Linked DNA regions of Coturnix japonica. The protein of the gene in region 1 interacts with the protein of each later gene in a pairwise test. Links are inferred from orthologs where the notes say so. Each region holds a gene or a part of one and is shown on either strand. Other genes may lie near its edges.

What was found. The genes of interacting proteins can lie anywhere in the genome.
Region 2: the proteins of zinc finger and BTB domain-containing protein 8A (region 1) and ZNF276 interact in binary tests that used the Homo sapiens proteins (3 or more experiments, as listed by UniProt). The two-hybrid records come from large-scale screens. The link is inferred for Coturnix japonica from reciprocal best matches to the Homo sapiens genes ZBTB8A and ZNF276.

The regions. Positions count from the first base shown.
Region 1 is NC_029538.1:4,571,563-4,578,060, forward strand, and holds the start of zinc finger and BTB domain-containing protein 8A, read left to right. Parts: upstream 1-2,476; 5' UTR 2,477-3,289; intron 3,290-3,866; exon of another isoform or gene 3,867-4,214; intron 4,215-4,331; 5' UTR 4,332-4,353; coding exon 4,354-5,290; intron 5,291-5,692; coding exon 5,693-5,865; intron 5,866-6,255; coding exon 6,256-6,498. UniProt on the Homo sapiens protein: May be involved in transcriptional regulation.
Region 2 is NC_029526.1:16,727,980-16,734,486, forward strand, and holds the start of ZNF276 (zinc finger protein 276), read left to right. Parts: upstream 1-2,690; 5' UTR 2,691-2,804; coding exon 2,805-3,000; intron 3,001-3,737; coding exon 3,738-4,047; intron 4,048-4,150; coding exon 4,151-4,203; intron 4,204-4,400; coding exon 4,401-4,892; intron 4,893-5,637; coding exon 5,638-5,716; intron 5,717-6,507. UniProt on the Homo sapiens protein: May be involved in transcriptional regulation.

The sequences.
Region 1 (6,498 bases):
TGGCTGGAGTTTTGGGTCTGAAGCACTTCTGGAAATCAGAACAAAATGGTGCCAGCATATTTGGAAATGCCACCTGCAGCCCATGAGCACCAGCATTTTGAATTGCTGTTCTGTTTTTGTTAAGTATGTGCAACGTATTCTTTTGGTATCTGATTATCTGATATTGGAAGGATTTCTGTGAGTATGGACACCCAAAAAGGGGCATTATCTGTGTTTGTTAGGAGATGAGCTCACTAATGAAAGTGAGATGAGAATGTAAATAGGGACCTGCAATGACACATAGTGACCAGGCATCACAGCACAGCTGGACTGGTCCTTCTAGCATGACGACGCCAAGTCATTGTAAATAGAGGCGACGAGAGCTGGGATCAGCTGAGCGTGGTGTGGAGCTGTCAGGAGCTGATCCTGCCCCACTGAGCTGTGCTGAGCAGCAGCGCAGCCAACTCTGAAACTGAAAGACGTTCAGAGGAGGGAAAGTGAAGCTCTTGTGAAAGTCTGTAGTAAAAGCTGCAGGAATAACTGCAGAGACCTCCAGCAATTTTCCTGCAATCTGCTTTCTTTGGTCTTAGAGGTTGTTCTTGTGTGTCTTGTGCATAGAGAACGGAGCTGTGCTATGGTTTGTGTGACTCTGAGTAGGGGGGGGCTGTGCTGTTCGTGTTCCAGATCGAAAGTGAGCACCAGAATCGATGTTTCCTGTTGATCTGTCATGTTGTGCTGCTTTGTTTTCAGCTGAGTCCTTCAGCTTTTGTATTCAATAGAAGCGGATGGAGTTGATCCACGTTCTTGTGCCCGAATGTTCATGTCAGTGTTTGCTGTGCTTCCCGTCCCGGTTTTTGATGTTTTCCTGAAACCTTCCACTGTAATTGCAGCCTCCACAAGCTGCGAGGCAGCGATGTAGCTGTTATAAAACATTCACGTGGTGCTTAACCAACAAATGAAAAATGGTTCTACAAAACTCATTTCTACTGTAATCTCCTCAAAGTTCTTAAAGGCCACACAGACTGCAGGAGGATCACGTGCTGCACTGCTGTCCATAGTGCGTTCTACCTGTTGGTGCGAGACCTTGTAAATCTTGCAGATGTGGTTGTGTCGTTACTGATGTTTTATGGCACTTTCATAGCTGGAGTCCTTTTGCCCACTTTAAGTGACCAATTCTCATCGATCTTACCTTACCTGTAGAAGTGACTTAAGTATATTTGTGGATCTCGGAGCATTCTGGAGCGTTCTGATTGTCTAGAAAATAAAACTCTCAGAGGGTTGCTTTGGCTTTGATTATTATTGTTATTTTGTAAGCATTGGAATGGCTGTGATGTGTTGCTGTGCAGCACAGGGCGAAACGAGTCCTGATGTCTGAGAAAACCCCCATTCTGTTCCATTGTGATCCCAGCTGCACTGGGTGAATTTCTGGGCGTTTCCTGAACTATTCTGAGTATTCTGAGCACTCGTATCAGGTTTAAAGATCTGATTTGTTTACTCGAGATATCACAGCATTTTTCCCCTAGTTTTAAAATTCTATGACCTCTTTGTAGCCGATGGAGAACCCTTAAACTCCTGCTTGCACTGATAAAACTGCTGAGCTCGGTGCCCTCTGGTATCGCCAGGAAAGCACCTGGTCTGTGCAGTGTCAGCTGGGTCGTGCAGAACAAATACCCACAATCTATTCTTTTCAGAAGGAATTTTTCAGTACAAGAACTATTTGGGATATGGAAGTGGGGGGAAACCATGATGTAGGATGTCATATACACAAGTGGTGCTGCTTAGTTGAACCGACAGGCACATGGATTATTGGCAGCCACTGTCCAGGGCTTTGTGAACTCAGGGATTGCAGAGCTGGGCTGTAACACCAGGACAAACACGAGTTCATCTGCCCTGTTGTCCTGCTCACAACAGCTGCCTGCTCTGTGCGAGGAAACAAGAGGCGTTTAGCAGCACTAATACCTGAATGCTCCTCTTACAGACATGGAGGCTTACAGAGGTGCATGGCAGGTAACTCACAGGTCTCAATAGCTGTACCCTGGTCTCAATAGCTGTACCCTGGTCTCAATAGCTGTACCCTGGTCTCAATAGCTGTACCCTTGCCTCGTGTAACGCTCACATTTCGCTTCCACAACTGCACAACAAGGAGCTCCTGTGCCTGCCTATGTCAGGTGAAGAACCACATCCTGCTGCTCTGTTGCTGCCAACCGCTATCGCTTCATTTGCCGTCACCTCCCCTTACACCAGGATCAGCAGCTGACAATCACTTCCTATTGATCCTGATGTGATTTTATAAATTCCCATGTATTTCACTTGCTTCATTCTTCCCTGCCTTGGCTGGCTCACGCCCCATAGGAATTCATGCAAAGCTGTGCTGGACTTTTGTCATCTCTCTGTTCTCTTTCTGAAAGAACACAGACACATGAAGGATTTTTAGTGTGGCCTGCACAGCAAAATTCGAAATGAGACAGAACTGAGAAAACAACAGAAGTTTATTAAAAAGGGGAATAAAAGCGGGGAAATACAACGATCCAACATAAATGGACGTAAATTGAATGTGAAGAGAGGAGAGACTGCGAGAATGAAAGTGGGGGAGGAAAAAGCCTTTAGGTGCCTTCCTGCTTCTGCTACGATGGGGAAAGGAACGTAAATTGATTCAAGATGGAATGTCTGAAGTTTATGCAAGGGAAGGTTGAAAGGAACCGAGGATACAGCTAAGGCAGAACATGGGACAAGGGATGATTAACAAATGAGGGTCAGGAGAGAAAAGACGCTGGTGGTAAGAAGAGGAAGGTGAAGGGTGTCAAACTTGGAGCGAGAGAAGTCGAGAGGTGGAGGTTGATTGAAGGCGTTGTGCTGCTTTTTCCAAAGACAACTGAGATGTGAAGGAAAGACATCGCATCTCCTCCTGGGGAAGCTGCAGATACGTTAAGGAAGGATTTGGGTCATTTGGGCCCGTGTTACACATAAAGGTGTGAGAAACAACCGGGACATCGCAGCCCCACCCGGACGGATCGTGTGTGTGTGCGGGACGGAAGCGGCGCGAGCTGCAGGGCGGTCAGACGTCGGGAGCTGCTGGGCTGTGGCTGCAGTCGGTGCGTTGCCCCTTTAATTGTGTCCCCAGCCCTCGGGCGTCCGTGTCCAACGCCCACGTCAGCAAATACCTTTTGTTTCTCTCCCGCTCGGGCTTCCAGGGCTCGGGGCTGCGGGAACGGGGCGCTGAGCGTGGCCCGAGCGGAGCCGGGGACCCCGCACCCTCCGCCCGCGCCTCCATCGCGACCGAGCGAGCGGCAGCCGCCCGCGGAACCCGGCGGTGAGTGGCGGCCGGGGCGGAGGGAGCCCGTGTGCGGGGCTGCGGGCGGGACGGCGCCGGGAGCCGCAGCCCCGCGGTCCGGCCGTGCCGCCGTTCGCCGCCGGGAGCCGGGCGGGCCGCGGAGCCCCGGCAGCGCCAACGGGCGCCATTGGCGGCCAGAAACCGGGCGAGAAGGAGAGAAACCGGGCGCGGCAACAAAGGGCGGCGCGGGAGCGGAGAGCGGGGGGGGAAGTGGGACTGAGCCGGGCGGGGCGGGCGGGGGCGGCTCAGGGACACGGCGGGAGCGGGGCGGGAACGAGCGGAGCCGGGGCCACGGGGCGGCGGGCGGCGCGTCCCGCACGGAGCCGAGCGGAGCCGAGGGCAGCGCCACGCGGGACGGCGGCCGAGGGCGCCGCTCCGTGTTAAAGCACCGGGAGCGGGGGCGGCGGCCCCGGGGCGGCATCGCGGCCGATACCGGGCGGCGGCTCCGCGCCTTGGCGGGCGGGCACAGTGCCGCCGGGCGTCACGGGCTGCCGGCGGCCGGTGCGGGCGGGGCGCGGTGAGTGGCGGCGGCGGCGGCCAATGGGGGCAGCCCGGGACGGGAGGGATGAGGCCGGAGCCGAGTTCCCGTTTCTGGTCCCTCGGGCGGGGATGGATTCGAGCCCGGCCGGATTCGGGCGGTGCGGGAACGGCAGCACCGGGCACAGGCCGCAGCTCTGCCGGTTCCCTCGGGCTCCTCGGGCTCCTTGGGCTCCTCGCCATGACGGTGAACGGCTGAACGGTGCCGCCGCGTTTCTCAGCCTCCATCTGAGGATGCTGCTGCTGCTCATTCGGAGCTCTGACATCGCTGCCAAACAGCACAGGCAGCCTCACATGGACTCGTTCCATCCTTTTCGAACAGCAATGCCTGGTGGTGGATATTGGGATATTTAATTCAAATATATTTGTGTGTTTCAATAAGATTATTTTTCAGAATATCCATTAAATGGGGTCTGCCGGCCTTGGCGAGCAGCGCAACGTGGAATTCACGATTGTAATTTGTTTTAATCCCTTTGTTTCCTAGAGCACAGCACATCTGCTTTGGGATGGAGATTTCGTCCCACCAGTTTCACCTCCTGGAGCAGCTCAATGAGCAGCGCAGGCAGGAGCTGTTCTGTGACTGCAACATCCTGGTGGAGGGCAAAGTGTTCAGGGCGCACCGCAATGTGCTGTTTGCCAGCAGCGGGTACTTCAAGATGCTGCTCTCGCAGAGCTCCAAGGAAATGACTCAACCCACCACCGCCACCTTCCAGGCGTTTTCTCCGGACACTTTCACAGTTATTCTGGACTTTGTGTATTCGGGCAAACTGTCTCTCACTGGTCAGAACGTCATCGAGGTGATGTCGGCCGCCAGTTACCTTCAGATGACCGACGTTATCAGCGTGTGTAAAACGTTCATCAAGTCGTCTCTGGACATCAGTGAGAAGGAGAAGGATCGATACTTCAGCCTCTCAGACAAGGAGGTGAATTCCAATGGCGGGGAGCAGCCGTGTCTGTACGGCGCGGGCTGGAGGGCAGAAAGCAGCCCCCCACATCCACAGCCAAACCCAGAGCAAGGGACGTGTATGAGGGGAAACACTTGGAGCAACTTCAACTACTATCCAGCTTCTCAAAGAAACACGCAGCAGCAGCTGTCCAAGCACGAGCAAAGGCAGGATGCCATAAAGAAATCCCGACACCCGGGACTGCAGCAACCCGCTGACATTCCACACTATAAATCCAGCAAACTGGAGGACAGGGCTGCTGAGCCTGCTGGCCACATTTCTCAACCTGAGGACCAGGTTCAGATTGAGGCAGAAGCGGAATCTCCTCACGTGGGGTTTCAGTATGGCCAGGGCTCCGATGTGATCTCCAGGCGCTCAGCCGTGTCGCAGCAGGAGCGCGACTCGCCCCGTCCTTCCAGCAAATCCAAGTCTCCAAAAGCAGACGAGCAGTACCCCAGCATGCCCTCCATTGTAGGTGTGATGGGAGGCTGGGCTGAAGGTAGGAGGGGGTCTCCGTGCTGTGTCAGTGAGAAACACACAGTGCTGAAGGAGCATTTACCAGAAAGGCTTTGTGTTTTCAGGGATGTAGGCTTGGAAAGCTGAGATCAACACTTGGAGAGTGATGAATGAGTGAAGTTGAGCTTTGCAAAGTACATATTCTTCATGTCTTAGAGCTACACAGTCACGATCGTTTTGGTTTGTTATTCTCACTGTAATGTTGCTGATAGCCCCGCTCCTTTTCCCTCGATGTTGTAATTTACACAAGAGCTGTATCTGAAAAGACCTACAATGTCTTTAAAATAGAAGCCATTTTCTGTTCTGTTTCTGTTGCTTTCAGTAACTGGAGTAACTAAACGACGGGTATGTTACGACTTCTTTTAAAACTCCAACTGTTTCCCAGCAGACGATCTGCCCAGGATGAGGTTCAAGTGCCCGTTCTGCACTCACATGGTGAAAAGGAAAGCAGACCTGAAGCGTCACCTGCGGTGCCATACAGGAGAGCGGCCGTACCCGTGTGAGGCGTGTGGGAAGCGGTTCAGCAGGCTGGATCACCTCAGCAGCCACTTCCGCACTGTACGTATTGTTGGTAACCGTGAGTTTCACTTGATGTGTGAGTCCATCTCAGTGTGATTAAACACAGTGCCAGCCTGTCTGGTTGATACATTGACTCCCGTAAAGAATAGGGAGTAGATAATTAACTTGGTTTTGCTTAAGTCCATTTGAAGCATAATTCCAATGAAAGAGGATGAGTTCCTTTGTTGGCTCACAAAGGCACTGCACTGCGTGAGGTCTGTAATGGGATGAAGTGCACAACTGGAGCTCCTGTGGATGTCTCGTGATTGATGTCTGACCGCTGCTCACAATGAGTTAATGCTGACATTTGATGGCACTCTAGCTTTACTTTTTGTCATTAAACGCTTCCTCTCTGATGCTGTATAAATGGATTCCTCTCAATTTTCCCAGATTCATCAGGCCTGTAAGCTGATCTGCAGGAAGTGTAAACGCCACGTGACGGAGCTGACGGGACAGGTGGTGCAGGAGGGGACCAGGCGCTACAGGCTCTGCAACGAGTGCCTGGCTGAAGCCGGCATCGACAGCATCCGCATTGACTTGGAGGCTGAAGCGCCCCTTGAATTTCCAGCAGACGGGGATAAGGATTCCAGGTGGCACTACGGGGAAGACAACAAATCCGATGTGGAGATCGTG
Region 2 (6,507 bases), on another chromosome or scaffold:
TGGGGGGGGGCTGTAAGAGCAGCCCCCAGCTCAGCCCTGAGGCTGCAGTACCTGTAGAGAGCCAACAGCGGGGCCCACAGCGGGGGGAAGAAGGCGTCCTCGATGCAGGCCAGGCACTGATCCTTGCCGGCAGCGGTGTTCAACCCCTCAAATGCCAGCAGCGTCAGGGACAGCAGCCTGTCTGGGAATGGAAGAGTTACGCAGCTCACCTGGACGGGTACACTGAGACCACGAGGGCCACGGCCGCCCCTCACCGATGGCGTTGTGGATGTCCCGCACGATGCCCTTCAGCTGCTCCTGCAGCGATGCTGCAGGTTTGGGCCCAGCCGTGGTTTCTCCTGGGGGCCAGTCCTCAGGCGATGCCAGGAACCGTTCCAGGTCCTCAAAGGAGCTCTCCCGGGGAGACCGGGGCTCCCCTTCTGCCCTGGAGGCATCGGAGCTGCCATCGGCCAGGGTTGCTCCGGAGATGCTGTGCCGCAGCGTGGCTGGGCCGTGCTCCGGCACCGAGAACATGCAGTGCAGGCTGCGGGAAGCTCGGAGCCGCCGCCCCCCCGGCTCTGCAGGCAGCAGCCCCCCTGCGTCCAGAGAGAGGAAGGCGAGGCCGATGGGGGCTGCAGGGGCGGCCTCGGGATTGTTCTGGCTGACAGCTGGGTACAGCCGAGTGTACACCGCACACTGCAGCTTGCGCAGGAGCTGGGCAATGGGGTGCTCTGGGAAGCTGGAAGCAGAGGGACAGGGGTGAGCAGGGGACAACGGCAAGTGCTGTGGCCCTCCAGCGATGTGAACAGCCCCCTGTCAGCCCCACAGTACCTGAGGAGGCAGGAGAAGAGCCCCGTCACCAGGGACAGGTCTGACGGGCTCCTCTTCAGCCTGGCTTTCCACTGCCGCGGCCAGTCCTGGGGGAGTGCTCACAGCAGGTTAGTGGGAATAGCCCCTCTCCCTGATTCCCAGCACAGCCCTCTGCATTCACAGCATCCACAGCAGCAGCCTCCAGCGCATACTCACGTGGTCCTGTTCATACTCGAGGATGGCAGCATAGAGCTCTCTCTGTTCCTGCTCCTCAGGGGTTAGGGCCACACTGCTGGAGAACCTCCTGCGAGTGCCACAGTGCCAGGTGAGGGGTCTGCAGGGAGCTCCGCACCCTCACGGTCCCCACTGGGACCCCCCAGCCCCGCCCTCACCTGTTGGCCGCCTCCTGCAGCCGCAGCCGCCGCTCCTCCATTTTCCTCTGCAGCTGGGCCATGGCAGAGTTAAGGCACTGGAAGTGCCGCAGCAGTGAGCCAGCATCTCACCCGGCACAGCCCTGAGGTGGCTGATGAAGTAACAGCCACAAACACAAGTCCCCTGCTTTAGGCACTCCCTTAGTGGAAAGGATACGGTCTCCTCTCGTGCCCTGGCTATCACCAGGTTCTCCATCATCTGCCGCTGTAGAGACAGCGTCTGCCAAGCAATGAACACTACGTGGGTGACACCTGCTCAGAGTCCCAGTGCGAGACTCATTGTACCCAGCTCCCCACTCACCAGTGAGGTTTTCTGCAGGGCCTGGCTGGGGTTGAGCCGTGCCACCCGCGCCTCGTAGGCAGCCTTCAGCTTCTGGTTCTGCAGCGATGCCTCCTCCAGTGGCGTCAGCTCCCTGCAGGGAATGAGCTGAACACTGTGGTGGCCTTCAATGTGAGCCAGGCATCCTGGCCAGCTGGGACCCTTCCAGGCTGAAGAAGAGCTCTGCGATCCACAAACTCACCCCACAACATCCATAACCACCTCTATCTATAAGCCGTGTCCCTAAGCTCCGCACCTACCTGCTGCTTGGGAGAAGAGCCCAACCCTGCCCTGCTTTTCTCCATTGAGTGGAGCACTGTGGTCCCCCTGCCCCTCCTTTCCCCCCTCCCCATAGGATTTGTGCTGTGGTCCATTTGCACTCGCTGTCCCCCAGCCCCACTCACTTGCGCACACTCTGTGCCTCAGCGATCTGCAGCTTCTGGAAGATCTCTGGTGGCAGGAACGGTGACAGCTTCCCTCCCTCGTCAGAGAAAACCCTGCGGTGCCTGGAGATGGGCGCGGGTCCCCCCGCTGTGCTCGGTTTGCCCTTGTTTTTCCCTGTGCGGGATGACACGGCTCCATCAGCCCATTGAAGGCTCCGGTCCCGCTGGTGCTGCCGTTACTCACCCAGCGTGGCCGCCAAGGACTTGACCCTCTCCAGACACTGCTCCGCCAGCTTCAGCATCTTGGGGGTGTCGGGGCCGAGCCCTTCGCTGTGCTCTGCGATATGGGGGGTCACTGCCCTGCGAGGGGCGGGGGGAGGGACCGGGGGGGGGGGTTGTTACCTGTGAGCCCCGCCTCGTCCTGCAGGGCCTGCGAGATGAGGGCGATGCTGTGCAGGTATTGAATATAGGCGTCCTGCGGTGACATCAATGGGGATGATGCGGGGATGGACACGAGACCTGGGTTATGCGGTAGGATAACGGCCCCCCGCCCCGTGCCGTGCTGCTCACCCGCGTCCTCCCCGCGCTGTCCATCTCCAAGGCCCCGCTCGCCGCCCTCATGGCGCCCTGCAGGGCCCGGCCCGGCCCGGCTCCATCCCCAGCACCGCCCGCCGCCGCCATCACGGCCGGAACGGAGAGAGCAGCGACACGGAGTTCCCGGGGGGAACTTAAAAAGCGAAGGGATGAAACCGGAAGTGCGGCCGGAGAGTGTTTCCGGAGGGACTTCAAAACGGAAGGCACGAACCGGAAGTGCAGCGGCGGGTCTTCCGGCCCACAAGAGGGCGCCGTTCGGGCGGGGCGCGGCGGGACCGGGCGGCCGCGATGAAGCGCGATCGGCGCGGGCGGTTCCTGGCGGCAACGGGCGGCACCGGGGCGGCATCACCCGATGGACGGGGGCGGCCAAGGGACAAAGGGGATGAGGAGGAGCGGGAGACCGGGACCGGACCGACCGCGGGGTGGGAACCGGTGGCGGCGGAGGAGTCCGGATGGGCACGGCCCGGCGGGGCGGCGGACGGAGGTGAGAGACGGGACGGGACGGGACGGGCTGCGGGGCAGCGAGAGACCGGGGGGAACCGGGGGGAACCGGGGGGAACGGCGACATGAGCGGCACCGACACGGGGTAACGAGCTGCGGGACGCGGCCTGTGTGTGTGTGTGTGTGTGTGAGTGCGGTCAGTGACGGCTGTAACGGGGCGCTGTTGGAGGCGCTGCGGGCCGTCACGGCGCTGTGAGCAGCCGGGAGTCCCGGTACAGCCAGCACCGGGCAGTGCACGGACACAGCCCGCAGAGCCGAGCTGCCGGTCGGTCTGTGCTATGGGGCAGCGGCTGCTCCATCCCCGGTGTGCAGCTCATCATTGGTGCCGTGTGCGGCTGTGGGAGCGTCACGGTGATGGCAGCACGGGGCTGCGCTGCGGCTGCTGCATGTTCGTACCATAAACAGTGGAGGGGGAATAGGAGCATTTGAGCTGGAGCAGCGTTGGTGGGAGCTGGATGTGTGAGAGCCTTGAGAACAACGGAGCCAGGTCTGGAGCAGCAGCACAGGGCGGGGATGCCATACGGGGATGGTTTGTGGGGTCCCAGCGCTGCTCGGAGTCACGCAGGTCTCGCTCCCGGTCAGTGCTGGTGCTGAAGCCGGGGCTGTGACGGCAGCGTGGGCTCGGATGACAGGACGGGGATGTCGCCTCGCAGTGTCCCATCGCCCTCGGGCTGCAGCTGCTGCGTGCTCCTGCAGCCGCATCCCGTCCTTCTCTCGCAGGGGTCGGCAGAGCGCTGAGCACCGGGTACTGCCGCCTCTGCCACGGCAAGTTCTCATCCAGGAGCCTGCGCAACGCCTTCGGGAAGGTCCCTGTGATGGGGGAGAACTCGGAGAAGCAGCGCCGCGTGGATCAGGTTTTCTTCACGGATTTCCAGCGGCTCGTGGGGGTCGCGGTGCGTCAGGACCCAGCGCTGCCGCAGTTTGTCTGCAAGAAATGCCACGCTCAGTTCTACAAGTGCCGCAGCGTCCTCAGGACCTTCATTCAGAGGGTGAACGCGTCCCCCACCGGCCACGTCAAGTCGAAAGGAAAGTAGGTTGCATCTCTGTGCTCCTGGTGGTCGCTGGGAGGAATGAATGGCCGCGTGTTCAGTATGGTCCCTCTAATGCTACCTGTGCTGTTCTGGCTTTTGCAGGAGCGGTGCGGCCCCGGCCCAGCCTGGTGTGGAAGGAGGTGCCTCCTGTCTGGGTGAGTAGCTGCTCACGGAGCAGCAGGGAAGGGTTGGTTGTCAGGGGTGCTGAGGGCGGTTCTGGCATATGGGGGATGCAAAGAGCAGCCTGTAGGCTGCCTCCCTCACCTGCTGCCGTGTGCCTCAGTGTGGGTGTGCAGAAGGGACGGGTCTGCAGGCTCTGACCCTGTGCCTGCTGCTTCTCCCCTTCCAACAGTCGACCTGATCACCTCCAGCCCGCAGTGCCTGCACAGCCTGGTGACGTGGGCACACGCACACGCCGGGGGCTGCCAGTCGGTGCCGAGCCTGCAGAGCGTGCTGTCCTCTGAGTACTGCGGGATCATCCGTGCGGTCTGGGGCTGCGGGGACGGGCACGACTACGTCATGGACACGGATTCTGACTGTAGCACAGTGCTCGTTGATAATGCCTTGGCTGTCAAACGGGAGTGGAACAAGAGCATGGCGCAGCGCTTGACGGACAACGGGGCGGACAATGCTGAGGCTGTTCCTGCTCCCAAACCCCAGCATGCTCCAGTAAGGACAACTCCTTGTCAGCAGCCCGCAAACAAAGGGACCGCAGCAGTGCCACTGAAGTTGGAGAATGAGCCATCGCAGAACAGGGATTCATCTCATTCTCAGCAGGACAGCACAGCCTCGTTACAGGAGAAAGCCTTGCCCCAGCCCGTGTCACCACTGAGCGGTGCCACAGGTAAGGGATTTCCCTTCTGATCGCACCCCAGGCCTCTGGGTAAGACAGAGATCTGCCCAGGGAGCGCTGCTGGGCCTGGCTGCCCCTCCTTGGGGACTAATAGGGCATTTGACCTGTGGCTCAGAAGTGCTGGTTGCCCAGAGGATCAGCTCTAGTCTTGCAGAGGGAAGGGGGATGTGAAGCTTTGGCTGGCCCAGCTGTCGTGCAGCCAAGCTGGTCTCCTTGCCTCTGCACATTGTTTTCCCTTCTGATGATGGGGTGAGATGTGGCTGTTCAGCTGGCTGTGTCTATCTGGCCCTGCTCGCACCTGGGACACGCACCATTCAGGCTGTACAGAGCGGTCCCATTCTGTCTGTTTGCCAGGTGGTTATTTGGGATCAATCCAAACCCTGGCTATGTGTCAGTCTGGGGGGGGTTTCCCACCCCGCTGTGACTGCAGGGCAATGTGAGCAGCATGAGGCCCAGGAGCCGTTTCTGTCTGCACAGGCAGCCTTGCTCTTGGGCTGCCTTAATACAGGTTTGCTGCTGCGTTCTTCTGTCTTTTAAAATATGGGGCTTAACACTGATTTTGAGTTTCAGAAGCTGGGATCTGTTTAGCTCCGGCAGTCACATGACGATATGTCTGCTGCTGGAAAGAGAACAGGTAGTCGGAACTGACTGGGGAAGGCGTCTGTTGGTTGCAGAGCAGTAGTGACCTTTTCGTTGCTTTTCCTAGTAACGTTCCTTGTTCTCCTTCGTTCCCTAGGACAGTTGAGTGGGAAGCAGGTTCTGTCTACAACGTCGGATGAGCGGGTAAAAGACGAGTTCAGTGACCTTTCTGAGGGGTGAGAGAAGAGTGGGTTTAAAATAGCCTTAATGTCTTCTTTGCGAGTATGAAATGACCGCGGAGAGCTTCTCCATGGTCCTCAGAAGGCCCTGGGAGGTGGCACTGAGGGGCAGGGTGGTTTCTCTGCAGCCACGGTCGTAGCACTCGGCTCCCTCCCACGTGCTGCACACACAGCGTGCGCTGTCTGTTGGTTGCTTCCAGCACAGCTGGCTGTGTTGTGCACTGCCCCATGCTCTGGGATAGCAGCAGCCGTGGCAGGGCGGTGTGGGGCTGTGTGGTTCTGCACACTGGCAGAGCTGCTGCTCCGGGCTGTGTGCTGGTAGAGCTGCTGCTGGTTCCCCTCTGCAGCTGTGAGCATTCAGTGTGGGCTCGCAGGCAGGAGCTGCTGCTCTGAAATCACCCTTTTTGTGCACAGGGAGGAGAGTACAGGAAGCCCGAGTGGGATGCAGGCTGCTTAGAGATTGTTCTGAGCTAAGATTTGGCTGAGCCCTCCAGATCTAGTGAGGTGTGTAAACAGCTGCCGGTTGAGTGGAGGTACGGAGGGGCCAAGTGCAAACTTACTGTGGTGTGTCAGCTAAATCTGTCAGCTGTCGTGTCGAAAGCACCACAGGAACCCGCTGCCCCTTTCCTGGCTTCAGAATTAATTGCGTCTTGTGTAGCTTGGGATTTAAAAACAAACAGAAAGATGTGGCTCCTCCCTATGAGGAAATACTGGATGACCTGTAGCTTAATTCACCTGTGCCAGACATTCTTGCTCTACAAAATGACTTTTATTAGCATAGGAAGTAG